3 linked regions of the Schizosaccharomyces pombe genome follow. The protein of the gene in region 1 interacts with the protein of each later gene in a biochemical or structural test. Each region holds a gene or a part of one and is shown in the gene's direction. Other genes may lie near its edges.

Evidence for each region.
Region 2: the proteins of rho1 (region 1) and pck2 form a complex in vitro, tested with the Schizosaccharomyces pombe proteins (one study listed by BioGRID).
Region 3: the proteins of rho1 (region 1) and gef2 form a complex in vitro, tested with the Schizosaccharomyces pombe proteins (one study listed by BioGRID).

Annotation. Positions count from the first base shown.
Region 1 is NC_003424.3:4,220,238-4,228,962, forward strand, and holds rho1 (Rho family GTPase Rho1), read left to right. Parts: upstream 1-3,833; 5' UTR 3,834-3,942; coding exon 3,943-4,013; exon of another isoform or gene 4,014-4,085; intron 4,086-4,248; exon of another isoform or gene 4,249-4,344; coding exon 4,345-4,882; 3' UTR 4,883-5,587; downstream 5,588-8,725. Other genes in the region: plasma membrane TRP-like calcium ion channel Pkd2, read left to right, coding at 1-1,896; protein tam6, read right to left, coding at 2,411-2,656; ribonucleoside reductase large subunit Cdc22, read left to right, coding at 6,745-6,763, 7,080-8,725. UniProt on the Schizosaccharomyces pombe protein: Involved in the regulation of cell wall growth and actin cytoskeleton organization. Activates (1,3)-beta-D-glucan synthase.
Region 2 is NC_003423.3:2,305,820-2,316,620, reverse strand, and holds pck2 (protein kinase C (PKC)-like Pck2), read left to right. Parts: upstream 1-3,612; 5' UTR 3,613-3,783; coding exon 3,784-6,834; 3' UTR 6,835-7,184; downstream 7,185-10,801. Other genes in the region: cyclin CycC-like Srb mediator subunit Srb11, read right to left, coding at 1-9, 422-453; SPOM_SPBC12D12.05C (calcium-binding subfamily carrier protein), read left to right, coding at 635-796, 834-1,952; DNA polymerase zeta Rev7, read right to left, coding at 2,145-2,344, 2,414-2,517, 2,566-2,681, 2,724-2,836, 2,877-2,927, 2,971-2,997, 3,047-3,077; chaperonin-containing T-complex alpha subunit Cct1, read right to left, coding at 7,185-8,690, 8,935-9,020, 9,059-9,106, 9,155-9,185; DNA polymerase delta subunit Cdm1, read left to right, coding at 10,381-10,801. UniProt on the Schizosaccharomyces pombe protein: Involved in the control of the cell shape. Target of the inhibitor staurosporine.
Region 3 is NC_003424.3:415,023-426,188, forward strand, and holds gef2 (RhoGEF Gef2), read left to right. Parts: upstream 1-4,919; 5' UTR 4,920-5,443; coding exon 5,444-7,865; exon of another isoform or gene 7,866-7,903; coding exon 7,904-8,131; intron 8,132-8,176; coding exon 8,177-8,285; exon of another isoform or gene 8,286-8,334; coding exon 8,335-8,881; 3' UTR 8,882-8,969; downstream 8,970-11,166. Other genes in the region: bun107 (WD repeat-containing protein), read left to right, coding at 384-663, 741-3,349; Ctf18 RFC-like complex subunit Dcc1, read right to left, coding at 3,453-3,698, 3,737-4,198, 4,246-4,480, 4,580-4,710; pre9 (proteasome core particle subunit alpha 3), read right to left, coding at 9,455-10,201; splicing-associated factor Dre4, read left to right, coding at 11,008-11,047, 11,084-11,166. UniProt on the Schizosaccharomyces pombe protein: Has a role in the control of cell polarity and cytokinesis. Involved in bipolar growth and septum formation.

The DNA of each region.
Region 1 (8,725 bases):
GCATACGGAATCGAAATAAAGAAGGTGATAGATCCTTGCGATATGGAAATTTCTGGCTTCTGTCCAATGCAGACTGGAAATATTGCTTTATCTGGTAGTCATACTTTAACCGGAGAGGCTCTTTCTATTCTTGATAGTATTCCCTCCATTGCATACACAGTTCCGGATTTAGATGCTGTTGTGACTATTAATATTTATGAATCAGATACAAACACACAATTAGCTTGTGTTCGTACTACAGTGCAAAATGGTCGTTCTGTTTACCACAGAGCTGTTTACTGGGTTATGTGTATGGTAATCGGTATCCCACTTTTAATTTTCTTACTGATATCCCCTGTTCTTCAAACACCCGCACTTTGGGAAATCGTTGAAACGATGATTACCTTATTTCAGTTTGCTCAAATCCAGGCTTTGTATTCCATGATGGCTACTTCTCTTCCTGCTATCATTTACAGTTGGGGCCGTAATTTCATGTGGTCGATGGGTATTATCAGGATTGGCTTCATGCAAGATGTTTTTACATGGTACGTTAAATCAACTGGCGGCACGCCATCTACTCTTGTAGATTTGGGTATACATGCTAATGTCGCCCTCGCAAAACGTGGTATTGATTTGGGCTCTCTCGCCAAGCGTGCAACTACTACTGTCACCACTAGCACAAGTGATTCTATTACCCTGAGGGGAATCAAGCGTATTTCATATATGATGGGGATTGAAACGACGAATTTCTTTGCTACTGGGTTTTCCTTTTTTATTATATTGTTGTTCTTTTCATTACTAGTTGCTATGGCTTCTAGATTTATTGTTGAAATGGTGCTCCTTGCATCCAGAAATCAAGCTTTGAAAAAGCAACGTATCCGTCTTTATTGGAAATCTATATCCAAAGGATTTTTCTATCGTGTGATTTTTGTCGGATTCACTCAAATGAGTGTTTTGTCCATGTGGGAAATCTATACTCGTGATTCTTCCGCTTTGGCATTTTTATCAATGTACGTGATTGTGGACATGGCAGTTTTGCTCTGCTATGCATTTGTGCGGACAATTCAAATTATCCGCAAAACAGGACCTTATTCCCATCCTGACGTCTTGTACAACCTATATTCTGACACTCAACACTTGATGCGTTGGGGCTTTATGTACGTGCAATTAGACGTCCGTTTCTTTTACTTTACTTTCCCACTGTTGCTTATAACCTTGGTACGCTCAATGTTCATCGGTTTTGGTCAGGGCTCACCCAAAGTCCAGGGCTGTGCCATGTTTGGTATTAGCGTTGTCGTTTTTGCTCTTATGGTGATTCTCCGACCTTATGCCACTAAACACATGAATACTTTGCATATCGGTGTTGCTTTAATGAATTTGATAAGTGGTTCTTTTATTTTAGTGATGTGTCAAGCTTTTTATGTGGAGGAATTAGCTCGTCAAGTTATTGGCATTATATTTTTTGCATTGAACGCTATTACAATGCTTCTTTTGATCCTGGGTATATTTATACGTACACTTATCGTCCTGTTCCGTAAATCAGGACATGGTACTTATTACCGTATCCTCGATGACCAAAGCGAGAAGGCTACCTCGTATAACAAATCTATTAAGGATATGAGCTCTTCCGACATGGCCTTCTCTGATCCGGCTTACTCTGGAACTACGTTGAGAAGCTCCGTTGACCTTAATACACCAGAATATCCGTTTTCGAATCGTAATGATTCAGACAGTACGTTCACAAATAACAAATATGTTTCCCCTTGGGACGCTATCGAAGAAGCTTCGTATGCCAACCTTCGTGGAAATACTGACGTCGAACAACCATTTATGGAATCAGATTATACCCGCATCTCTGAAAATAATAACAACGCTGAACGTCGACGCAAACCATTACCTAACAATGCTTTTCGTTAAACGTGGATGGAAAATGTTGTGTCGTATTACATATATATTACATTCCATCTACCTTACACATTCTTTCATTATTATACAATTGTTGTCTCTGAGATTTTTTTAAACTATAATTTTCTACAAAGTTTGGGGTAAAAGACCTTTAAAACAATTCACACAAGCATTCTTACAATGAACTCGACGAGGAGGTTCAATAAGCAATCAATGTCTAAATCTTATTTTTAGACAAAAGTCAACTATTTAGTGTATTCGCATCCTTTTTTTTATTTATGGTTCTTTTTTTAATTATATTTCAGAATTTTCCCTTCATTTCTGCTTCTTTTCTTTTATTCCATAATTGTTATAGTGTATAGGTTTAGTTACCATTTAAGCATATTTGTTGGATGTGCATCAGAAAGCAAAAAAACTTCACCCGTTTGATTAAAATGCAATTTAGTAAAAAACATTTACTTCTGATTCAAGTTACTTCTTCACGTCTTAAGATAACTGATAATAGAAAACGACGTTTATTAACATTTTATTGAAACAATCTATAGACACCGGTAAGAATAAATCCATAAGCCATTCCCAAAATACCGAATCGTTTAAGCTTGTAATTGGGTGTATTCAAAGGAATTCTAGATTGCGAATAGGCATATATTCCTAGACCTGTGAAAGCGCCTGCGCCCACCAAGCGGCATGGCAAGCAATCGTACTGTTCAAACCTTGGATCGTCTAAATCGACGGGTTTGGGAGTTTGTTGGAAACTTGATGATGGCATCATCGAAAGCTATCAGTTTAATTTATAAACTATAAAAAAAAAGTAACCGCGTAAATATATATGTGTATAATTAAGAGGCCACACAGCTTTCAACCACTTTCACTTTATAAACAAGATTAAAGCACTAAAAGGTAAAGTTTACTCAACCCGCTTTTTCTTTTCTTGTCAACTACAAAATGAAATGTCAGCGATCAATAATACGGTATCCAATTTGATAGATGTTCAATAATAACGACTCAGGACTTTTTTCTCTTTCAATTTGTGGGAAATCTATAGGGCGCGCTGTTCAAACTGTTTAATATATTGGTCTTATGTTCTCCAGTACTGAAATGAATCAATGGCAAAAGTTAAAAGAGACAAAGTAGTGAGTTAAGAGCTAAGTTATAGATCTACTGAAACCGTCTGTTTTATTTTAACTATGAAGAAGAATAAAAGAGGCTAAAGTTACATTTCATTTTTGTATATTTGTAGATCTGCTACCGGATCAATATTTTTTTGGGCGATATAATTTTAGTAAAATTAAAGTAGGATTTTATTGATCTCGAGAAATAAGAGAGCAAACAAAACGACGATAGAAAGAAAGAGCATCGTAATATTGCTTTATTACTTCAATCTGACATGTAAAATTATTTTTCGGCACCAAAAATTGCCGCTTTTTGAATTTAGGAATTCATCTCACATTTGCATTTTACAAATAGAATGCTGTTTAATTTTATGAGTATACAATTATAATTATAGCTATTTATACGAAGCTTTGCTTCTTTATGTCTCTTCCAAAAGTTTCTATATTCCTGCTATGTTTATTATTTATAAAATACTGAAATAAAGTGTGTACGTTAAAATAGGATAAGCGGATTAAATGCGTTCCGTTATCTTCGAATATTATGACTAAACTGAATACGTTAACGAAATTTTTCCGCTGGTTTCTGCTTTTTTTGGCGTTTGTGATTCAAACAAAAAAACGTCTGTTGACATCAAGTCGGAGTGGAGACAATCTTTTTGTAATAAAACTGTTTTAATTGCACTTTACACTCTGTACAGGCTCAGCCTCGTCCATACATACTCAAAGGGTTCATCTATAAGAGCGCTAGGGCAAAGTAACGAGATTTAGTGAAGTGTAGTAGCGTCTCCTTCTTTCCTTTCGTTGTTACATGAGCCGCTGACAGCCTAGTAAATAGCTAACCACTGCCACATCGAAGGAAAGAGCGGTGTCAGAATTTGAGTCGAAAAACGTTTATTTACGTCGAAATTTTTCTGTCTAGAGCAGGAGAAAGTAAACAAATCTAGGGATGGCGACAGAACTTCGCAGAAAGCTCGTTATTGTGGGAGATGGTGCATGTGGTAAAACATGCTTATTAATGTAAGTAAAAATGGTGCAAGCGTCGGAAAGGTAGTAGAAGGGTAAAGTAGTTGCTTGGGCCTGTTTTAAATTGGCAAGGGTTTACATCTCTTGCTTAGCATGGCTGGAGAAGAAAATTATTTCCGTAAGCATGTTCATTGCCTCAAGAAAATAATGAAAGAATCCCCATAGAAATGAGACTTAGATGGGGTTTAGATTACATTTAATAAATGTTCCGAGGATTTAATTTGCACTCCGTACCCTGTATTTCTACTTACTCTTTGCTTGCTTATCTGCAATGTTTCACGAGTCTGTGTCATTGTTATACAACTTCTAACATTTTTCTTTATAGTGTATTTTCTAAAGGAACCTTTCCCGAGGTCTATGTTCCCACTGTTTTTGAAAATTATGTAGCTGATGTTGAGGTTGATGGACGCCACGTTGAGTTGGCTCTTTGGGATACGGCTGGACAAGAAGATTACGACCGTCTACGTCCCTTGTCATATCCTGACTCACATGTTATCCTTATTTGCTTTGCTGTTGATTCTCCCGATTCTCTTGACAATGTTCAAGAAAAATGGATTTCCGAGGTTCTCCATTTCTGTTCCAGTCTTCCTATTTTGCTTGTCGCTTGCAAGGCTGATCTCCGTAACGACCCAAAAATTATTGAGGAGTTATCCAAGACTAATCAGCATCCCGTCACCACAGAAGAAGGTCAAGCAGTAGCTCAGAAGATTGGTGCTTACAAATACCTTGAGTGTTCTGCCAAGACGAATGAAGGTGTTCGTGAGGTTTTTGAATCAGCCACTCGTGCTGCTATGCTCAAACACAAGCCCAAAGTGAAGCCCTCTAGTGGAACTAAGAAGAAGAAGCGTTGTATCTTGTTGTAAACAGCTTGTTTCCAAATTTTTTAACTTAGAGAATTTATCTTTTCTGTTTTTATACATCTCTTCAGTCGAAGCACATTCAACAAGTTTCCGTATTTTTTCGACTTATGTTGATTTTTATTTCACCTTCACCTTGGTGGGAGTTTTGCATTGTGTGGCCTATCATGTTACATAGTCATTATATCCTCTCATTCTTTCCTTTTTACTTACCTCAAGTCGTGCCATTTAGTCAGCTTGGCAATGATTTAAGCGCATTTCATATAGCTGTTCTACCATTTCCCCTCACTGTTCTGCAACGTATAGGCACCTGCAAGGAGTATGCGTCTTGTTTTCAGTCTTTGCTTACTTTGCTATACTCTTCGCTATTAGTTTGAAGAAAATTTCCCTTATTGCCTTGTTATTGCATGGTTTTATTTTTCCTATAATACCTTGTTTCTTTTGTTAAGGATTGCCATCATTATTATCCTTTCTACCTAGTCAAAGGACTTGGTAAATTTTTATAAATCGGTAATTTAAAGAATATACACCTCGATTGAAACTCGATCAAAACCCGAATATTTTATAAGCTTTCTCACAGCACGTAATTGCTTATTATCGTGGAACTTTAGCTGGGTCTCCAATTTTGCACTAGAATTATTGTAGAAAATTGAAGCGACATTATCTCTGTTGATAACCTTGCTGGTATACAGGCGCTTGGTATTTTTATACACGTTGATAGTCGAAGTAGCAGATAGCCGTAGTTGATGGTTTAAACATTTTGTATTTTGCGGAAATTTGCACACTGTTTATATCTCATTCTCTTTACGTCAAGCATACCAATGTTTGCAATTTCATGTTTTGAAGGTGACCGTTGTTATTCTATCTATGCATTTGTATTACCATTTGATTTTCACTCTGTCTACAGGCAAGATTATCAGATGAAGATATAAGCATTGTTGACTTTACCTAAAAAAAAGGATAATTGCGAGGGAGCAAATAGTGAATTAAAGGGAAAAGAACAAAGTTTTTGTAGCTACTAAAAGCTGTTTGTCTATCTCTATGTGTACCTTTTATAGTGCTTATAAGTAAAATGCAGAGTCGAAATCTTCATGCTTTAATGTAAAGCATTAGTAAGGTTACATATTACAACAGAAATGGGAATCAAAATCTTAAATCTAAAAGTTGAGAGGTCTTAACAAAAAAGCTAACTCAACTTAGCTTTACAATTTATAAATCAAGGAAACAATACTTTATCAATTGTATGTTATGATCTTCTCCAACAGGTAATTGACAACATCAAAAAGTAATATAAAGAACAAGGGGAAATTGATATCTAGATATATTAGAGAAATTAGTAGTTCAATCTCATAGAGCAGGTTGGTAGTCGGGTTGGACCGCGTGTTTAATTTATGTAAACAGTCGCGTCGCGTTGCAATTGAGACGCGTAAATAAATATTTAATTTATTACATTCAGTCGTAAACAGAGTATTTATAAACACTTTTTTTATGTTTAATAAAAGATAAATGTAACAGTTGAATGTATTGTATCAGGTCAGACCACTTCAACATGTTTAATCGCGTTTTTTTAAAAAAATATTTTTTTAATTTTTAAAAGTCGGACTTATTTTAGCGGAACTTTGATGTTCAGAAGTGAAAAAGATAAATCTATTTAGCAAGTCTTAATTAACGTCTTTTAGATATAGTAGAGCTACAAAAATGATCCGGTTTCCACTCTTAGCTTTATTTATTTACATTGATCAACATGACTTAAAGTTCGGATGACGCGACGCGGCATCACGTTATATTAGCGTGACGCGTCTGAACGCGTTTTTCATTTACTATAAATATTCCCGGTATTTACCACCTTACAAACTAGAACAAACACGATGTTTGTATACAAAAGAGGTATGAAACAGGAAATAAAATACAGTTAGAAGATTAGTAGAAATTTTGTTACAACGTTGCCGTTTCGAAAAATGTCGTGATTTTACTGGGGAGTAAATGTTTAAAGAAACTGAGATTTTTCTATTTGTTTAAGCGTGTCATTCAGTATTCACTGTTTGTTGTGTGCAGAGATGTTTAAGCAAATGTTCTTTTAGCCGTTTGCTCTACTTCCAAGTGTTCGGTTGATTGCTGACAGATTCGTTGCTGGTGGCGTTGTATTCAAAATTGACTGACTGTTGACATTGAATCGAAAAGCAATAATGTACTAACTGTATAGACGGACGTCAAGAGAAAGTGGCCTTTGACAAAATCACTGCTCGTGTTTCGAGGCTTTGTTATGGCCTTGATTCCGATCATGTTGATCCCGTCGAAATCACTCAAAAAGTCATTTCTGGTGTGTATCCCGGTGTTACCACTATTGAATTGGATAATTTAGCTGCTGAAACTGCCGCGACTATGACTACAAAGCATCCTGATTATGCTATTTTGGCTGCTAGAATTGCTGTTTCCAACTTGCATAAGCAAACCGAGAAGGTGTTTTCAACTGTCGTTCAACAGCTTCATGACTATGTAAATCCCAAAACAGACAAGCCTGCCCCCATGATCTCTGACAAAATCTACGATATCGTAATGAAACACAAGGACGAATTAGATAGTGCTATCATATACGATCGTGATTTCACTTACAATTTCTTTGGCTTCAAGACTTTAGAGCGTTCTTATTTATTGCGTATCGACGGCAAAGTTGCTGAGCGCCCTCAGCATATGATTATGCGTGTCGCCGTTGGTATCCACGGTGAGGACATTGAAGCTGCTATTGAAACATACAATTTGATGTCTCAACGCTACTTTACCCATGCTTCACCAACTCTTTTCAATGCCGGTACTCCTCGTCCCCAACTCTCTTCTTGTTTCCTCGTTACGATGAAAGACGACTCTATTGAAGGAATCTACGACACACTCAAGATGTGTGCTATGATCTCCAAGACCGCTGGCGGTATTGGTATTAATATTCACAACATTAGAGCAACCGGTTCGTATATTGCTGGAACTAATGGTACTTCCAACGGAATTGTCCCCATGATTCGTGTTTACAACAACACAGCTCGTTATGTTGACCAAGGAGGTAATAAGCGTCCTGGTGCCTTTGCAGCCTATTTGGAGCCTTGGCATGCCGATGTTATGGACTTTTTAGAACTTCGAAAGACTCATGGCAACGAGGATTTCCGCGCACGCGAAATGTTCTATGCCTTGTGGATTCCTGACTTGTTTATGCAACGTGTTGAACGTAACGAGCAATGGACCTTCTTCTGCCCCAATGAGGCTCCAGGTTTGGCAGATGTTTGGGGTGACGAGTTTGTTGCCCTCTACGAAAAGTATGAGAAGGAGAACCGTGGTCGTCGTTCATTACCTGCTCAAAAAGTTTGGTACGCCATTCTTCAATCACAAGTTGAAACTGGTAATCCTTTCATGTTGTATAAGGATTCATGCAACCGTAAGTCCAATCAGAAGAATGTTGGTACTATTCGCTGCTCAAACCTGTGTACTGAGATTGTTGAATACTCTTCTCCTGACGAAGTTGCTGTTTGTAACCTTGCTTCAGTTGCTTTGCCCACATTTATTAAAGACGGAAAGTACAATTTCCAAAAGCTTCACGATGTCGTGAAGGTCGTTACTCGTAACCTCAACAAGATTATCGACGTTAACTATTATCCTGTTCCTGAAGCTCGCCGTAGCAATATGCGCCATCGTCCCGTTGGTTTGGGTGTTCAAGGTCTTGCCGATGCTTTCTTCGCTCTTCGTTTACCATTCGAATCTGCAGGTGCCAAGAAGCTAAACATCCAAATCTTCGAAACAATTTACCACGCAGCCCTTGAGGCCTCTTGCGAGATTGCCCAGGTAGAGGGTACATATGAGAGTTAT
Region 2 (10,801 bases), on another chromosome or scaffold:
AATTGTGTTCTGTAAGGTCAGCTTGAAAAAGTATACTAAGGAATAATAAAGGTTCGAAGATATTTTAAACAAAAACTAACAAAGAGGCTAAAATCGCTTTAAATTAAAGTCAACGAAACGAATGAGAAGCCGAAATAAACTGTGATTGCAAGACATTTGCGCAAAATGACTCAAACAAGATACATCCAGTTTAGTCGATACTCGTGACTAGAAGTAGACAGAAAAGCTATTCCTCTGATCAGTAATTAGACGTAGATCAGCTCACTCGCAAGCCTCAATTTGTCAAGAATATGTTCAGCAGTAATAAAATAGAAAAGCAGATATTCAAAACTCAATTAAGACATTTTAAAGAAGAATAGGAATGAATTAAAGGCCAATTACCTTCTCGTAAAACCTTTAAAATTAAAATTGATAACCTTACAATTGACTAGAGGCCCAGTAATTTGCTGCCATATATCACACGATATTTTAAGCTGATTGACCCTTAAATATCATAAGAGATAATAAAAAACAGTGTCACAGATTTTACTATTTACGATAAATTTTCATGGGCTGCTGGTATGGTCAGATACATTGACCTGTGAGGACTCACCTATTTCTCTTTACCCCGGTACACTCATTACCGGCATGAAGGATGCCAACTGAATTATCTGATATCACTATACAAAGCGTACTTCCATGTGATTATAGTTTGTTTAAAAATAATTTACGGGTTTCAAGGCTTCCAGAATCGCGATTTGTTTTTTCCCCAAAAGAAGAAATAAATTGCCAATCTCTTCTTCAAGGTCCGGAATTGGTATGTTTAATGTAAAAGGATTTTCTTTAACCATTAGAAAACTGCTTTAGATAATTTAAACTTCATTCATAAACAGAAATTTGAGCATCAATTTCGACATGGCTATTGGAAATTGCACCCACATCCGCATCATCAACATGATTCAATAATTCCTGCAAGTTGGATTCATGATACTCCGCATATGAAACTCGTCTTTCATCGTTTACAGAATTTACCTGACGGTGATCTGTTACTAGAGAATGACCCTAAAAATAACGTTGGTTATTTCATTAGCGGAGGGATTGCTGGAATCGTCTCTCGTACCTGTACAGCGCCATTAGATCGGCTAAAAGTCATGTTGATTTCAGACACTGGTTCTAAACCTTCCCCGAAGTATCCTTTTGCTACTTTGCTACATACCACTAAAGTTTTATGGAACCGTAATGGGATACGTAGCTTCTTTGTGGGAAATGGCATTAATGTTTTAAAGGTGATGCCTGAATCCTCCATAAAATTTGGTACATATGAAGCGATGAAACGAGTACTTGGAATATCTTCAAGCTCTGAAAATCATAGTCCTCTTTATTCTTACTTAGCCGGTGGCATGGCTGGTTCAGTTGCTCAAATGTTTATATATCCGGTAGATACTCTGAAATTTCGCATTCAGTGCAGCGATTTATCTCGTGGTCAGCATGGAAAAAGCATTATTTTGTCCAACGCAAAGGAACTTTATAAAAGCGTTGGGATACGGGGTTATTACAGAGGCGTGCTCGTGGGCATACTGGGTATGTTTCCATACAGTGCAACAGATTTGGGAACATTTGAGGGCCTTAAGAGGACATGGATAGGTATCTTAGCAAGTCGTGACAATGTCGATCCACAAGATGTGAAACTTCCTAATGGTTTAGTGATGGCATTTGGAGCACTTTCTGGAAGCACTGGCGCTACCATAGTGTTTCCACTTAATGTCATACGTACTCGTTTACAAACGCAAGGTACGTCTGCACATCCTGCAACATACGATGGATTTATAGACTGCTTTTACAAAACTACAAAAAATGAAGGTTTCCGTGGGCTTTATAAAGGATTGTCTCCTAATTTGTTGAAGGTAGCACCTAGTGTCGCTATTTCATATCTGGTATATGAGAATTGCAAAAAATGGTTGGGCCTAGAGTAAGGCACATTTTCTAACTATTTATAATTCTTATTGGTAGGGACCTTTACTTCAAAATTAATAATTCTTTCATTGATAATGATAATCCTTTATCGCAAAACTGATTCTTTATTTACTTTACCTAATCCCCTCTTATTTCATAGCAGATACCCATTTTTCTTGCACTACATTCTGAAAAGAAAATTAGAGATACCTCTAATCCGAATTTGTATATTTCTCGACCCAAATTTCCGTCATCATTGGTCCAATATCCACATTTCGAACAGGAATGGTGATGCCCTTAAATTGCCTTGTTGCGTCTGTTTCTCTCGCTTGCGGCGGAAGAAACCACTCTTCCCATTGTTTTGGTCTGGGAAAACCATCTTTTAGCGTTACCCGAAGCGTCCAAGTGCATTCTAATTTCAGTATTATTAGAATTGAATTTAGTAATAGAATATTTTTTTAGAAAATAATACTGTTTATACCTTGTTCAATAAGAGGAAGTCCATTTGTTATATTGAGTAATTGGATGAGCGAAGCTCTCATGTATTCAACGTAAGCATCTGTGAATGGCTCATTTGTTGAAATTCTACAATATTGTTAAAAGATGCCTATGCCAAGCTAATGATAGTCATACTGTTTCTCAAGTAAGAAATCAGGAATAATCGGGATAGAATCCGTTGAAAAGACATATCGTTCCTCTTCTCGCTGCTCTTTGTTAATAATAGAGAGTGCAACTTGATGTACTGATCCCTAGACGAGCAGTTAGAAAAAGAATTGGATGACTAAGAATACCGTCTGAAGCTCCTCGATACAAGATTGCACTACTTCTTCAATATATTCGCACAAGATCGGATGCCTTGATTGCCAGACAATTGTATTGTATTTTCGAGCTTTTATAAAAAGGTCTAATATGAGAGTTAAATCAAAAGCTAAAAAATCGAATACCTTGAGGATAGAGTCTTCTAGCGTAAAGAATACAATGAATGCTTACAAGCACTGAATTGTAAGCAAAAATGGAAGTTCAAAGTTGCACACATACAAAATTCTCCAAATATATCAATACATTCTAATAGTTTAGCAAGCAAAAGACCCAAATAATCATACTAATAACATACTTTTCACAGACCATCCTGTGTCGTTTTCCATCAGACATGAACGATACGATGATTACTATATTCAAAAATTTCTTAATATGTTCGTTCAAATTCGAGAATTCTATCTTTTCTGAATGAAGCGAGAAAATAAATAAATTATAAAGTTATTAAACCAAAGATATGCAAACTAAAAGAATATCAGCAAACATAGTAATTACATGGATTACAATAACGTACCCGCGATTATTGACGGGATTCCGTAAAACTAACAAAAGACAAATAAGATAGCTGGATAATGAACTGTTCTATTAATTGGTCAATATTTTTTTATTTTGCGTTATTACAATTTTAGCATCAATCAAATAAAATTGGACATGTGACAAAAATATTTATGGGGTAAAGTTCTGTAAAATCGTTATTTTCAAGATTAACGTGCCAAAATCCTTCGAAATTATAACAGGGGTCGCTGAAAAATTTGCCCATATATTTCAATAAATTTTGAAAAAGGAATGGAGTGGTGGGATTCTTTGAATTGCTTGCGAAATCCCTGCGAGCTTGCCAGTCTTACTTCATAGCTACCGCCTTCCAACTACTAAACGTACGAAAACATCGAAAGGACTAAAGCGGGTGTTTACTAGCATTTTATCGAGCTTAAAAGTCTTAATGAAATCTTATAATCACATTAATATTAAAAACGGAAGCGAAAAATTGCAGATAAGAAGTTAAGCGGAAAAATCAGGATTAGGCCATTTAAAGTAATGGATATGATTGATGAGGCTATAACAGAAGTTGTTAGGAAAATTGAAAGAGAAAGATCAGTTATTCATGGCGCCCTTTCCATGAAGCGCTTGACTCAGAATCAGACAGTTCACCAACAACTTCATAGCAATATTGAAGAATCAAAAAAGAGCATTATTTATTTAGAAGAACGCTTAGAAAAACTAAAGCTTCGCAAAAATGGTGTCCGAAAGAGTAATTCTGAGAAACCGTCCGTTGGCATTGAGAAGAATCCATCCTTTAGCACTACAAAATCCGCTAAAAGCTTTTCCTCTACTTCTTCTAATATCGATTCTAACTTGGATTTGCTAAATTATGATACCCCTCTTACTATTTCAAAGATATCATTCTTATTACAACAATTGGAGTTCAAATTATCTGTTGAGGAACAATATCGAAAAGGTATTGAAAAGATGGCAAAGCTCTATGAGCGTGAACATGACCGTCGTAGTATAGCTGAAGCAGAGAAGAAGTATGTAGAAAGTGCTCAAAAGATTACCTTACTCAAGCAAGCTTTGAAGCGATACCATGACTTGCATATCGAAATCGATGAGGAAGATGTTCCCAGTACGGAAAGTAGAGGTAACTTAAATGCCCGTCGTCCCCAGTCTGGTCTCCTTAAAATTACCGTAGGATCTCTAAGGAACGTCACGCATTCTGCTGGAATCTCCAAGCAAACGGAAATGATAGTTGCAATTCGTGCAGAGGATCTTGAGCGTGCACGTACTCGTCCAAGCCGCACCGACCGTTTTAATGAAACTTTTGAAATTGATCTGGAGAAGACTAATGAGGTCGAAATAGTTGTTTACGAAAAGAAAAATGAAAAATTGCTATTACCTGTTGGTTTACTTTGGATACGGTTATCGGATTTAGTAGAAAAACAAAGGCGAAAAAAGGTTGAACAAGAGGTTTCAGATAAAGGTTGGGTTAGTGCCGACAAAATGATTAATCAAAGACTTTCAATATTTTTACCTTCTGCTCTTAATAATATTTCAAAGCCTGAAAGTACTGACCGCCCCAACACAGCTAGCGGTAATCAAAGTGTGAGTGCTTGGTTTTCTCTTGAACCCATGGGACAAATTAATTTGACCATGAATTTCACAAAGCATAATACAAGGAAGAGACCTATGGATGCTGGCCTCGGTCGTCAAGGTGCTATCCGTCAACGCAAGGAAAGCGTACACGAAGTTTATGGTCACAAATTTCTACAACATCAATTTTATCAAATTATGCGTTGTGCTTTATGTGGAGAGTTTTTGAAGAATGCTGCTGGTATGCAGTGCATTGATTGTCATTACACCTGTCATAAAAAATGCTATCCAAAGGTAGTTACTAAATGCATTTCAAAGTCTAGCGATTCTGCTTCTAGCGAATACGAGAAAATCAACCATAGAATTCCTCATCATTTTGAATCTCACACAAACATAGGTGCTAATTGGTGCTGTCACTGTGGCTACATCCTTCCTTTAGGAAGAAAAACTGCCAGGAAATGTACGGAGTGTGGAATAACTGCGCACGCTCAGTGTGTTCATCTTGTTCCGGATTTCTGTGGTATGTCTATGGAGATGGCTAACCGGGTTATTTCTGAGATTCGTACAACTAAAATTTATAAAGCTCAACAACATAAACAGAAAAGTTCACATCACAAGCATCATCATCATAAAAAGTCTAAGTCTTCATCTTCGAAACATAAGGAAAATGACAAAGCATCCGTTTCTATTACAACCACCACAACACCATCTATCACTCCTGCAGACCCTGTTCCAACTTCTCCAAAACCACTGGCAATTGAACCGGTTAAAAGAAAGCCTGTACATGCCGGTAATTTAGAAGTGACATCAGTCTCTGATAATAAACTTGGCGCTACAGTTCAGGTTGTCGAGCAGAAAGTGGATGACAAAGCTGATGCGTTGACGAAACCTCCTTCCCTAGATGCTGTGAAAGAGCCAATCCCAGTACCATCAGTTGAAACCTCTGTTGTTGCTCAAGACCTAACGCATAAAGCTAAGCGTATCGGACTTGAAGACTTTACTTTCTTATCTGTGCTAGGCAAAGGAAATTTCGGTAAAGTAATGCTGGCTGAGCTTAAAAGTGAAAAGCAATTGTATGCTATTAAAGTTTTGAAAAAGGAATTCATCTTAGAAAACGATGAAGTCGAAAGCACTAAATCCGAAAAACGCGTTTTTCTCGTTGCCAACCGAGAGCGTCATCCATTTTTGGTAAACCTGCATTCTTGCTTTCAAACCGAAACCCGTATTTACTTTGTCATGGATTTTGTGAGTGGTGGTGATTTGATGCTTCACATTCAACAGGAACAATTTTCACGTAGAAGGGCACAGTTTTATGCTGCTGAGGTGTGTCTTGCTCTAAAATACTTTCATGATAACGGTATCATATACCGTGATCTTAAGCTTGATAATATCCTTTTAAGCCCAGATGGTCATGTTAAAGTGGCCGATTATGGTTTGTGTAAGGAAGACATGTGGCATGATAACACTACTGCCACGTTTTGCGGTACTCCTGAATTTATGGCACCGGAAATCTTATTAGAACAGCAATATACGAGAAGCGTTGACTGGTGGGCTTTTGGTGTACTAATTTACCAAATGCTGCTTGGTCAATCTCCATTTAGAGGAGAAGACGAAGAAGAAATTTTTGATGCAATTTTATCTGATGAACCTTTGTATCCTATTCATATGCCAAGGGATTCCGTTTCTATATTACAACAACTTTTGACTCGCGATCCTAAAAAACGACTTGGATCTGGCCCTAACGATGCAGAAGATGTCATGACTCATCCATTTTTTAGTAACATTAATTGGGATGACATCTATCATAAGCGAACTCAACCACCGTACATTCCAAGTTTGAATTCACCTACGGACACCAAGTATTTCGATGAGGAATTTACCCGAGAACTCCCAGTTCTTACTCCTGTTAATTCTATTCTGACGAAAGAGATGCAGCAACATTTTGAAGGTTTTTCTTATTCATGCGAGGATGATAAACCCTCGACTACCGATAATGCTTAGCACCTTAAATTGAGCATAAAGTTACTCTCATTTTCTTAATCTTTCATTGCATTGATAAATTATTCTAATTTCGACTTTTTAAACTAAACATTTTTGGATTTCTTTACTACCTGGGTTGTATCTATGATATTATAAGCATGCACATTAATAATCCATACAGTGGCATTAGACTTTTGTTTATGAAAGCACTAGCAAAGTAGTAATTTACTGAGTTTAATAATTTACCGTTTATTGGTCAACAGCTATAGTGCTAATATATGTTAATATCCATCGCATTTGTATCTATGGAGCAAAATTTTTGGATACATTCAATGAAACCCGCCAAATATACCTATGCTTAAGTAATTGCTTTAGTGCAACCCTGCATGTGGGTCTTCTGGTTGTCTTTCGGGATCAAGTTTGATACTAGTATCGATACGTAAAATAGCAATGCATGCCTCAACGGCGCTCTTCAAACTTTTCAACTTAGACATGGATGGCTCAAGAACACCAGCCTTAACATTATCACGAATTACGCCATTAAGTAAATCAAGACCATAATTTTTGTATCCCCGTTTCTTAACATCTGTAACCTCAGCATTTTGACTGGCTGCGTGATAAGCACGCAACTTAGCTGTCAGTTCAGTAGAGTCTTTGGCGGCATTGACGGCCAAAGTTCTGGGAATAATTAACAAAGCTTGTGCAAACTCAGCAATTGCAAGTTGCTCACGAGAGCCCAAAGAGGTAGCAAAATTTTCCAAGTAAATGCTCAGAGCTGTTTCCACAGCGCCGCCACCAGGAACGACTTTGCCGCTCTCAAGAGTGCGTTTGACGACGCTTAAAGAATCATGCATTGAACGCTCCATTTCATCTAAAGAGTATTCATTGGGGCCTCGCAGAACAATTGATGCAGACGAATAAGCTTTGGTTCCTTTGACAAGAATACATTCATCATCCGAAAATTTTTCTTGAACAACCTCTTCAGCCGAGCCCAAGTAGGAACTTTCAAAGGTTTCTTCACCCTCTAAATTTGACAATGAACTGAGTAAGGTAGCACCGGAAGCCTTGGCGATACGTCTCAAATCTTCCTTTTTGCATCTACGAACAGCCATTGCGCCAGCTTCAATAATGGATTTCAAACAGAGATCATCAATGCCCTTTGTGGTAAGAATAACATTGGCACCCGCATTGAGAATTTTTTTGACGCGTTCCAGCGTAATCATAACTTCTCGTTCACGGATCTTTTCAAGTTGATCGGGGTCATCAATCGTCACATGCACACCTAACGCCATTTTAGTTTTTTGCAAATCCATATCCAAAACAGCAATTTTAGCATTCTGAACACGAGTTTTCATAGCTTGACTGGCAATGGTACAATTTAAAGCATAACCTTTAACCAGGACGGACTCTCGAGAACTTTTGCCATGTGCCTTCAAAATGTTGACAGCTTTAACAGGGTAACGGGTCTCACCCTTAGAATTAGAAGTTTTGACGGAAAGCATTGCGTCAACAGCCATGGTTGAAAAAAAGTCTGAATCATTACCAATAATTTTTGAAGACATACTGGTTTTGGCAACGTTAATAAGACTCTCTTTTCCCAAACTATCTACGCTGCAGCTCAAGACATCTGTCATAAATTTTACGGCTTCACGGATAGCAAGTCGATAACCGGTTATAATAGTAGTGGGGTGAATTTTGTTTTTGACAAGCTCATTCGCACGTCTCAACAATTCAGCCGCAATAATGACAACACTAGTAGTTCCATCACCTACTTCTTTGTCTTGTTGTTGAGCTAATTCAACCAGCACTTTACCAGCAGGATGTTCAACATCCAATAATGATAAAATGGTAGCACCATCGTTTGTAACAGTAACATCCTAATACAAGTTAGATAGAAATAAAAGAAAGTAAGAAAAAATATAATAAAAGATGAACTATAATGGCAGGAATACTTATTAATTCGATTCACAATATAAGGTTGACTCTTCCCTGCCAATTAAGATTTCCTTAAATGCGAGAAGATTACAACACTAGCGTATCAAATCAATAAATATTGGTTAAAGGCCAATATCCCCCATTATTGTCTAAAATTTTCTTTTCTTCACGAGGTCTTTAACATACACCAATATCGTCAACGAGCATTTTGTCTAACCCGACAGGACCCAAGGATGATTTGACGACATTCGCAATTGCGGTCGTTGCCAAAACTAAAATGTTAAAAGTTATGAAAAGAAAATTAACATACCATTTTGGTTTCGTACGTCCTCTCCACTGATTTTTTCACCACTCAAAACTACAACATGTTAATAATTTACCATCCAGCGCAATATTGGATGCTTACAAAGAGTGGATTCTCTCGGTGCTTGAAACATTTCAGCTAGATTCGATGTTCTCCTCTAAACTGATTAACAATCTTTGTTTACACGTTTGGCAGACGTCGAGGGAGGAAGGTTCTTTGAAATGTACTAAAAGCATTCAAACCCTCTAAGTGTTACCTCATATAGCGTAATGTTACCCTCTTGGTGGAAACTAAAATTCTGCAACACAAACTACCTGTGCACTATTTGCAGCATAGGGACAATTAACAAATTCAATAATTTTGATTTACGAAGGATGTCTTTCACGTTTGAAAGCATTATGTAAATTTATCGACTGCATTAAAAAATATAACAATTTGGTTGACTACACTGTATTTAATGATAGTGCAGTTTAATCATTGAGAAAGCCCGGTCAGTTTGTTTACCACTGTATAACTAACAGTTTAAAAGCCCTTAAAAAAAGACAACTTAATGAAACTAGATACTTAAATTACTAAAAGCTGTAAGGGAATTGAAGTTTCAACTGTCTTTGTGCTTCAATTGCAGTGTAAAAAGTTACGCTGTTTTAGCAAAGCACAAAAGACAAATTTTGCAATACTCAAAGCTATTTAACTATAAATTTTTTAAATTTTGAAAATGTTAATAAGTATATCTATTTGCATTTACGAAATTGCCTATTTTAAATCGGTAAAGACCAAAACCCTTTTTAGAAACGTATTAAAGATATGTTAGGAAGGCTGGCAAGTGATTCAATTGCATGACCAAGGCTGGATTAAGACAACACGTATTGCTAAAATACTTGTATCTAATTATGAAATTTCCACAATACTATCTGAACTAATAACGAGTATTGTTTACTTCTTGTTTGCTCCAACAACGAACTAGAAATACCGAAATAGGGGTCGTCAAGAAGTTTCTATTTTAATAATTATCAATAATGCACTTAAATACTTGGACCTAAATGAATAATAATATATATGAAGGCTGATATATGTATAACGATAAAGAACGAGCGGATGGCTGGATACTTATTTTCTCGTCAGCGTGACGCATTTTAAACATCGCTATAGTAGTCATCTAAAGTTATATATACATATTAAAAGTACACTTGCAACCAAATGTACTTTTTCAGAGATTTCTTTTGGCCAAACAAACTAATGCTCTAAATTGAGTAAACACGAAAAAGAATTGGATTTATAGTGCACCTTTCATTCTAGTACCGCAGTGTTACAGAATTATATCACGCAGTATGAAGAAGCGCACTACTCAAGCGAAAAAATCAGGGCAAAACACTAATATTCGCGACGTGTTTCCACATGTAGTTCGAAGTAATTCAAGTCAATCCCACATAGGGAAGAAAGTGAGTTCTGAACAGTCGCCTACACCCGATGTTACAATTACAACCAAAACCTTGGATGAGAGAATTAAAGAAGACGATGAGCTTTCAAAAGAGGTAGAAGAGGCTTGGAATCAAATTATGGCTGAAAGGATTAGTGAACCAATACATTGTGAAAATATAACCAAAGTAGAGTTCATTTTGCATCACTTTGACACTACGGCAAGATATGGACCATATCTTGGTATGACAAGGATGCAACGCTGGAAACGTGCAAAAAACTTCAATTTAAATCCTCCAGAAACAGTGGGAAAGATATTGATGCTCGAGGAAG
Region 3 (11,166 bases), 3.8 Mb from region 1:
TACTTATTAGTAGGTAAATGGTTTGGAAGTTCATCGTTTCCATCCATTTTTAATGAGCAGTAGGATCCGTTCTTTAACATCTGAGTTATTTGAGGAATTGCTATTCATCGCTAAGTCAAAACATATAATATATTTGTATAGGTACTCGCTACCAAAATATTTGGATCCATTACTGTTTCCTGTTTCCAAGTAAAAGGGTTTATTTATCCGCTGCGTTTTAGACTCAGGACACACTATCTTTCTGCAATACTTTTGAACCTGAATTCATTCAATAAATTGAATTCGACATCATATAATATAAATTTTTATTTTTTACGTTTGAATTGGATTTTTTGTTTATAATTGCATTGTTTTAAGAGATTAATAATTCATTTATTGTTCTCATGAGTGTTCGGAAACGGTACAAGGTTACTTATGTTCTTGATTCCTGTAACGATCAACTAGGGCACCGTTTGGATGCTAATTGTCTAGTGCTAGGTCGGTACTTTTCAGAACAAGGGTCAGCACCAGTTACTAGAGCACTTTACAGTGGTGGCCGAGATGGACAGCTTTTCGGTTGGGACATCGGGTATGATTATGGTAAAGCTTCCCAGCCCTTAGCCAAAATCCAGGCTCATTCTGCTTGGGTAAATGATATAGCTTTAACACATGATTCCGAAGGAGGTAAGCCTTTGAAAAATTTAATTATCTCTGGAGAATAGCGGTAGCCTTATAGAAATTGACGTTCTAACATTTATTAGTGATATCTTGTTCTTCTGATTCAACGGTGAAACTCTGGAAGCCACATGTCTTGAATGCTTCTTGTTTATCAACAATTGGCGAGCATACCGACTACGTAAAGCGCGTAAGCATTCCCAAATATTCCAAGAGTCCGTTAGTCGCTTCGGGTGGGTTGGATAAAAGGATAATTGTATGGGACTACAACGTAGGTCAAGAAGTTATGCGATTTGAACAGTTACCTGACTGTTCTCTTGTTGTTGGTCCAAGATCTGGTGTTTACTCGCTGGCAGCGAATAACAACATAATTGCTAACGGCGGACTACAAAAAGACATTCAGTTATGGGATTGTGTTTCCAAGAAAAGGATTACAGATTTAGTCGGTCATACTGACAATGTTCGAGATATTCTAATTAGTGATGATGGCAGAACAATTCTCACAGCCTCTTCAGACGCTACAATAAAGCTTTGGTCTCTAAGGGCGCAAAAATGTTTATTCTCTTTCATAGCTCATTCAGACAGTGTATGGGCATTATATTCTGAGCACCCAGATTTAAAAGTATTTTATGCTGGTGATCGCTCAGGCTTGATTACTCGTACTGATATAAGAAACCAGCCTAACAACCAAAGCTGTACTGCAATATGCAAGCAGGATGCTCCTGTCTCTGACATTGTTGCTCGTCAATCTTTCATATGGAGTACTAGTCGTGATGGCTCCATTCTTCGTTGGAAGGATGAGCCCCTCTTTAATCAGGACGTGGGAGCAGCATTATCTAAGCATACCTCATCTCATCTTTCTGTATCATCGGACTGTCCCTCGAGACATTCTTCTGACATACGAAATCATAGCTGTCCAACATTATATCACGACGATGCTGAGGATATATATTATGATTTGCATCATACTGAGAGCTATTCTAACATCAATTTAACCAAAACCCCTGATTATGTTATTCATGGTGGTATTGGTTTGTTAAAATATCGAATGTTGGGTGATCGAAGGCATGTCTTAACTGAAGACGCTGTCGGCAATAAATGTTTGTGGGATATACTTGCTTGTAAGCAAGCCGGGGAATTTGATAAGTCAGAAGATTTTGAAAAGATTGTTCAAAGTTTGGATACTGTTCAAGCAATACCTAGGTGGGCTTCTGTTAATTGCCTTTTGGGGATTCTTGCTGTTACTCTTGATGAAAATCACTACATGGATGCCGAAATTTATGCTGATGAATGTCCTCTTCTGAAGGTTGATTCCCCTTCTGATAAAAGAATAAACTTAGGGGTGTGGATTTTAAAAAATTTATTTCGTGAATTTATTGATGCCGAGCTTCATCGTGATTTAAAATTTAGACAAAATTTAGATGTTGTAAGGTCTGAAGCTAAGAAGCAGATAGAAGCCCAGAGAGAAGAAGCAAGAAAGGGAAATGTGAATATGCCATCAGCTTTGTCTCCATTGAGGATTCGATCTCGTCCATCACCTTTATCTCTTCCTCCAGAACCTTTACTTTCTCCTACTATAGATTATTCCGCTACCCCATTCCCCCTCGAGCCTCCCCCCGAAAGTCCTGGTCCGTCTCTTCAAATTCCATCAAACAACCCCGTTTACACAAATTTAACAGATACAGATTCTATGATGGGTGCGCCAGATTACTTTTCGATCCCCGCCAGGCAAAATCGTAACAGAAAGCCACATACTGAGGTAGTTGGATCCCCTACTGTTGTGAGAACGAAAGAGATAATTCCCCCCAAAGTAACTCGTGAAGGTTCATTTATGGGCAGACTTAAAAAACTTGGAAGATCAAAGTCATCCAAATCATTACAAACCGATTTTATGAAAGCTTCTGTAGAGAGAGCTGCGTCAAGCCGCGTTTTCAGTACCGGGACTTCGGTAACTTCTCCGCAAGCATTGTCTAAAACTAATAATACTGTTAATAATGCTGCAAATACAGAAAATAACACACTAGCTAAAGATAAGCAACAAACTTCAGAGGCATCATCACCTGGTACCCCGCGAGAGCTGAAAACGACTGGTGAGTTGATTGAAGATCTTCATGAACAATATGTACATTTTAAGGATAAAGACACCGTTCTTAGTTTAATGAAACCACCAAACGATGATACGTTTCCCATGTTAAATCTTTCGAGTCAGATTACTGTTATCATCAGCGAAGAATCTCCTGAAGCCGGTAATTCTCGTGACATATATCGTTCTACTCTTGAGAACATGGCTGACGATATTGACTTACTTGAAAATATTATGCCCTTTTGGCTTGGAAGATTACTGTTATTAAACGAATTTCCTTCTAAAACTGCCCCTACTGTTAATTTTACTCTTCAGCCTTTTCCTGGAAGTGGTTTACCGCTTATTGTAAATGAAAACACTCGTTTAAGTGCTAGTGCTATGCTTCGTGCTCAGAAAATTATGGATTATAGCTATAGCAAGCTTAGCCAACAAAGAAAGGATGTATCATCCCTTCAATTTAGATGCAAAGATGTCGTCGTTACCCCCAAAATGACATTGGCAACTGTTAAGGCTCGAATTTGGCGATCTGGAGACGACGTTGTCTTTCATTATGATGTTGCTCCTAGATCTGTTTCAGAAATTGTTGATAAAACCCAGAGTCTTAATATTTAAAACTTAAGTTTGATTAAAATTTTAATTGATTTCATAATCCTGTCGAAAATAATGTACAATAAAATCAAGTTTTCAACCTGTATAGTACCGGCCAAATAAGGTTTTACCATGTCCCTCTAGAATTAATGTAAACACCGTCCCTACTGGTTTGTTTTCGCCCATATTTCAATATAAGAGCTTCAACTCTTGATTTCGACAAGGCAAGATCTTTAACGAAACTCCAAAGTTCTTCATATAACCATTTCGACTTAAGTTGAAACAAAGATTGAAACCGCCTACTTGGTTCTCTCGGTAACTGATCTCCTGATAAATACTGAATCGTATTTGGGGTATCGTGAAAATAATAACCCTAAAGAGTTTTAGCATTAGCTGACTAAAATGCCCTACCTTTAATAAATTCAAAGAAGGAAGTCCTTTACAAGGATACGGAAGACGATTATCCCATAACTGAATGAACTCATCGGAGCTTATACTGTTGATGCCTTCTAACAAAAATCGCCCATACCAAAAAGTCGTCAACTCTAAATCGATATTGAATTTTTTAGGTAAGACATTGTCCTTAATGGGTGAAGAGATACTTTCAAGAACACAAATTACTGAATCCCAATCAAATTCGTCATCCATAGCTGGCTTTTTTAAAATCTTAAACTCAAAACTTGCAAAGTCTATGTGTAACTGTTGGGCTATAACAAATATCCAGTCAATAATTGAACATATGTAAGAAGGTGATAATCGGTACAAGAATTCATTCTTTACCATGAAAAAGTTTTTCTGCAAGAATGAATCGACTTCATTTCTGCTAGCAGGAACAGATCGTATAAATTGATCTTTTGTAAGTGAAATGGGCTTCTGTTGAGACTGTTAGTGAAAGGCTAACTATTCAATAAAATGCATACCAATTCCACAGAATCTTCGTCCCAATAAGAAATTTTGTCGTCTGAAAAAATAAACCCATAAATCCGTTCAACTTCTAAAAATGAATAACATGTGTCATTTAATACCCAGTCGGTAGGACTGAGCTCATCAAAAAGCAAATACGAGTTTGATTGAACCACTTGACGCACAGCATACGTTTTATCTGAAGTACAGAGTACTGAAGCCTTTTTATCAAAATCTGATTTAAAGACAATCCTATTATCGATGTTAGATCATAAGTTGTCAAATAGCGATATAAAAAATAAAAAAGTAATGATTCAACTTCAGGTTATTTATACACAAGGAAACACATACTCTTCTTCAGGATTTTCTTCCAGAGTCTTTAATAAATCGTCGTCTAGTTCCAACAATAAATATTCAGAAGAAATATCAGAGCTTGGATGAGGGTATTTTAATAAAATGCATCTTTCTTCATTCGCTTCCATTTAATGTCTCTTTTTTTGTCTATTAAGTAATTCCCGATCTCAATAAATGACAGATTTGACTTTGGGTTGCTATTTTACTTTATTGTTAGAAAACAAGAAAATGATCACTAAAAGATTAAATTAATAATATGGTAAAAGACTAGCAGCTGTAGCGGATTTTCGCTGCAGAAAATTACCATATGTCCTATCGGTGAATGGAGAAATGGAGTAAAACTACCTAATTCAAACAACCACATCGGAGAAGCAGGTTCGGAAGCTTCAAGTGAGATTAGGATATAGTCCCTGAATTGGGTCTATTCCTTTTTCTTTTGTAGCTGTATAACTGGAAGTACTTTCACTAATAAACATTGAATTGAGATTTCTTATAATCATTAATAATTTTTGAGTTGCATAAAAACAATTTCTATCAAGTTCCGTTCTATCGATCTTTTGTAAAAAGTCTTGAAGGTTTAATTTATTTAATAATTCTTTTTCTTGGGAACCATTGCTTCTTTGCTTAAAACTTTTCTTCAGCTTTGCTTGACTGGTCAATATACTATTTGTTTTACTGTTTAAGGGATTTTGCTACCTCTATTTCTTTTCTTTCTACAAGTTTTACAGGTTATCAAGCCATCACATTTAACTGCGGTTGTTGAAAAAAAGCTTACTTGTTTACGTATATTTGGCGAAGTTAAGTTTCATATTTTTGTCTACGCGATTGACCTTTATCTTACTTTTTTCATTTATTTTTACCATGGACGTCGGCACGATGGGTTCGCGTGCTGAACTGTTAGCAATTAGCATTCAATTTGGAGGTCTATGGGTTTTTAGGGATCTGTTACAAATGAATCCTTTGTTTGAGCAAGATCATGTATTTTGTACCTTCAATCATCCAAATATGGGTTTGGTATTGATTTCATTTGCCAAAGTTGATGGTCATATTTTAGCAGCTTATGCTTTATCGAAATTGGGACCTGACACGTTTTCTATATGTTACCCTTTCTCTTCGAAGTTGGATGCTTTTGCGCAAACTTTGGACCTAGAATGGCAAATTGCTAGTATGCATAAGGAAGCTGCTGCATGCGTATATGAGTTTCTTTGCGTGGAATCTGTATGTTTACATACAGGCGAAAATTGGCGAGAGTCAGTCATTGAACCTGAGTATGCTTCCTATATTTTTGATACAATAAACGTTTTCCAGTCATCTTCTCTCACTCGTGAGCTTTATTCTCTTGGCGAGCCGAATGGTGTACGCGAATTCGTGGTAGATGCTATTTTTGACATAAAGGTTGATAACTCTTGGTGGGAAGACCCTTCTAACTCTTATTGGAAAACCGTTATAGGAAGTAGGGAAATGTTTGAGGATTCACGAAAAAAGACTTCAAGTCCGAGTCCGAGTTTTGCGTCTAGTAAAGATGCCGGAACCATACCTGCAATTCAAAAAAAAAAGAGTTTACTCATTGAGATGATGGAAACAGAGAGCACATATGTTGAGAGACTACGCCATTTAGTTAATGATTATGCACTCCCTTTACGGGATTTGGCCAAGTCTTCGAAAAAATTGCTGGGACTTTATGAATTAAACACCCTATTTCCGCCTTGTCTTAACAAATTAATTCAGCTCAATTCTGCTTTTCTTGACGAGTTTGAGGCAATCATGAGTGATTTAAATTTTGAAGATATAGACGAAAAAAAGTTTGAAGAAATTGATCTTCGATTAGCTTGTTGTTTTGAATCTCATTTTTTCGCTTTTTCACAACATTATCCTCGTTACCTTGAGCAAAGTAATGATTTTGGTAATGTTTTAAAGATGGCTTCAAAAATACCCAAATTTGTTGAATTCCATGACCAGGTAAAGCTTAACGCAAACATGAATGTGGGTTTGAGTCAGCTTATTATGGAACCAGTTCAAAGGATTCCACGATATTCACTATTTTTAGATCAGATTATATTATTGACACAAGAAGGAGAATGTCAACATACATACGTGCGCTCAGTTGAGATTATAAAAAATATTGCAGAAATGCCTACAGTTGATGCCGAAGAACGATCAAGGATTTTTGCTGGCTTACAACATATAATTCCTGACTTAGCACCAAACATGATATCTAACTCTCGAAATTTCATAGATTGTATTGACGTGACTAGGGAGTTTCTAAAAAACGGGCAACTGCATTTAATACCTTATACTCTAATTTTATTCAATGATCGAATTTGTCTTGTTCAAAGACGCTCCAAATCAAGTATTGCCTCAACTATATTGGATCTTCGTAAGCAAAATCCTCGCAATTCTTATTCCAAAGAAAAGCGTGCTCAATATATCGGTTCAAATATGAATGAAGCGGTTGAGTTGACAAGAAGTATGGTTGAGGAGAATACTATTTTTTTAATTTCCAAGTATGCATCTTCTCCTTCATTTTTTAATGAGTATCCTATTTTGAAGTTTCGTTGCGATTTTGAAAATGTAAGAACTATGGATAGGTTTTATCAGTCTTTTCAAAAAGCACTTTCAATGAACAAAAGCCAGCCTTCCTGCCTTAGTTTTTCAAAACTCAATGACTTTGTGGTTTTTTTTAATAACTATTCACGATTTGAGTATGAGAAAGAATCAAAACGCTCAGACATAGTATGCATATGCACCAATGATGCCAACGTTGATAAGCATAAATTTTTGCAAGACGGTAATATTGTCATTACTTTTTTTCAACAAGACGAAGATTTTCATTTAAGTTTCGATTCCTGGTTAGGTGTCAGTTTGCCTACTGAAGCTGTTATAGCTAAGGAAGACCTTAGGGAGGCTTGTCTTAATTATCTTATTAATATAAAAAGGCTTCTCCTATGCCCTTTTTCAAATAGAAATTTCTCAAGCTTGGATCTATACTCAAACCTTATACAGCATTTGCTTTCTGCTAATTCCAGCCCACGAAAAAGTAGGTTATCATTTGGAGGAAGGCCCGGAAGCCCTTCTAAAATCAGTTTATCATTGAACAGGTTTTATAATCAAGGCGGTTTATCAAAATCTTGTGCTACACTTCCTTCGCAAATGTACAATTTGGACCATAATAATATTTCACAAAAATCATTGAAGTTTAATACTCATAATACTTCGAAGGCTTCTGCTGAGAAAACTGTCGAACATCTTGAAGCTTTCAAAGGCGGATTTAAATATCATACAGGTAATATTGCAATTTGGATCATAACGTTAACTGAGCAGATTTAAAGAATTTACTATATCCACTGTCTGAAAAGGAGAAGATTGAGGGGGATGAGCTGTACGATAATATTTTGAAGGAAACTTTTAATGAAGAATTACTCTCTCATTACCCACCAAATATTATTTATGCGACCTTTCAAAAATATTTGAGCTCCTTTATCAATCGAAAATTTGGAGTTTTGCTTTCTTCTTCATTCATACAACAGTTAAATACTGTTGAAAATTTAAGTATGTATCGCTATCAAATTTGATTTTTTTTAACTAACATTGAAGATCTATCTTTCAATTCAACTGATGCAGTTTATCATTTGAAAAAAATCTTACAAGACTTACCCGAGAGTAGCCTAAAGATCCTTGAGAACATTTTTTCTATTGCTTCCGAGTAAGTCACCAAGCTTGTTTTTCAGAGGTTTTATTATCTAACGTCGTAGTTTGCTTTTGAGACTTCCTCTTAAAGATCAATGTGATTTTGTTACGAAACAACTAGCAATTGCCTTGGCTCCTTCCATGTTTGGAAGTAATGCTGTAGAACTTGTTTATTACCTTGCATACCACAGTGATCGCATTTTTGGAACAGTAGAGGAATTGCCGACTCCGGTTTCCCCTGCGAATTCCAATAATGATAAACAGTTAGATGAATCGAAATTCCAAGCAATTGCCATGAAAGAAATGCCGGAAAGACACCCTAAGGAAATTTTACCTGGTCAAATAGAACGAGAGGCATACGAGGATTTACGACGCAAATATCATCTGACTCTTGCAAGGTTGGCTCAAATGACTCGATTAAATGAAGATTCTAAAAAGTCTATCCCTCTGTTGTATGATCGCTTCAACCATGATCTTAAGCTTATAAAGCAATCAGTTCAAGCCAGTTTAATTAGAAAACAATGTGAACTAGATACCGCAAAGTGGACTCTTGAAGAGTATGAATCCAAGCTAAACGCTAAGGAAGGTTGTCAAACCAACATATTTATATAGCCAACTAGTCTATACTACATCGATTATTAGATTATTTGTTTTACTATTCCTTTTTTAGATATCAATAGTTATTTTTTTTATCCTTCAATATGTAAGTGAAAGTTAATAATACTCATCAAAAAGTTTTCTCTTATTTTTATAAATAGTATAGAATTGGAATATGCTACACCGTTTAAAATCTTCAGTTATGAAAACTAAGCATATAGTTTAGAACATATGAGAGTCATTGACATTCCATTGGAAATACTATAATTTTAAATATGCCGGAATGGTGTACTCAAGTAGAAATTGACGTTATGAAGGGAATGAGAAAGAAAGGTCTAAGTATAAAAGAAACTTGAAAAAAGCCTTTTTTAAAACGGCATAAGAATTCATAAGATAATGATTTAGCGTAGATAAAAAGAAAGCAAGCCTATATTGAGACGGAATAAGGCTCATGATGGAACTTAGTTTGCTTCAAATTGTTTACAAAAACCATGAGCTAATTACAAGGAGATTAAAGGGTAACGACGAAAGCTATAAAAAACAGCTATACACTTAAAGTGTTTTCCCAATGAATTGAGTAAGGCAATATTAAGATTGCCGCTGGGTCTCTTGGTACTTATTGAGCACTTCATTTATTTCATCTGACTTCCATATTTTGCAAACCATTTTGTTTTTCGTGGTATCCTTTGTTATTGTTGCAAATTCAATTTTTTCATGAGTTAGGGAGTTACTGTCCAACGTTTTACTCAAAAATTTCACGGCCATAGCAGAAGCCTCATCTAAGTTTATATCATCCTTATACTCCTGTCGCATTAAGCTTTGAACACTAGTACTATTTCCTCCGATACTATTTGCTTGCCAGCTTCCGTAATTTCCAGATGGATTAGATTGGAATAGCTGATATCCACGAATATGATCCCATCCAGCATATAAGAATGAAACACCGAATGGACGTAGCCCACCATACTGTGTATAACCTTGTTTGAGGTCACAAACGCGACGAACTAATTGCTCACAAGGCATCTCTTCATTAAAAGTCTGCAAGTATTGTTGCCCAACCCTTCTAGCGTAGTTAATTAGGATGTTTGCATCTGCGGTAAGCCCTGCCACAGCACATAACATATTGTCTCCTATATGATATAACTTTTCTGCGGATTCTTCTTGTTCTAATAGTTTGCTGGTAACCTTCTTTTCAGCAGCTAAAACAATTCCATCTTTAGCTACAATCCCTAAAGCAACGCCAGCATGGTTGATCGCTTCCAATGCATATTCAACCTGGTATAAACGACCTTCAGGTGAAAAAATAGTCGTGCGAGAATCGTAGCTTCTTGACATAATGAATTTGGTTGATGACAAGTTCGAAAATGCGCGAAGCACTAGATCACGAACATTAATGAGGTCTACCGAAGTGCGATTACCACACTTGCTTTATTCTTTATGTGCTTACTACACTACTATAACAGGACTGACTTTTACCTGTCTTCTAATACAATTAATCTATTATGATTTAAATTAGTATGTTGTTAATCCGCTTATTTTTACAAGCTATGCTGTACAACAAATGTCTTTATAAATGAGAGCTATTTTTACGATAATCAATTTACCTTTAGTACTTTCATATCCTCAAGATATAAAGTTATCAGTGTAGGTTGCTAATAATTAAAATCTGCTTGTAAAAATATTTGAACCAGAGGAGTCAATACTAGTGTAAAAATGTAGCTGCTTACAAATACTTCCAGCCTGCCGTTTAACGATTTACCACGAGTTATGAATTGCTCGTAAATTTATGCGGGTTGTTGTAAATTGACAATATTAAAATTGAAGTTCTCGAAAATGTTTTATTATATTGTACTTGGTAGACCATTTCATTAACTTCTTATTTGTTCTAAAGGAAATACTTGGGAAGACGCTACGTGCGGTGCTGTTATGAGGTTTTTGTAGTATATTCAATAATGTTAACTACACCTATGAATTTATGCAATTTATACAGATTTTTTTTAATAGTTTGTAGAAATTTTTTTGTAATTGACATAACTATTCAGCTGGATTTTGCAAAACTGTTCTATCTATTCTCACACACACGCCCACTGAATACTACCTAACATAGTGTCGAACTTAACTTCTTGATTGTACATATCTTAATGTCACAGCCTTTGCCTCCTGGATGGACTGAACATAAAGGTAAATTTAATGAGCAGTTTATTTGCTAACTCATAGCACCCAGTGGGATTCCTTATTACTGGAATGCCGAGTTAAAAAAAAGCACTTACCAGCGCCCAAGTTTCATTGAGAAAAACCAT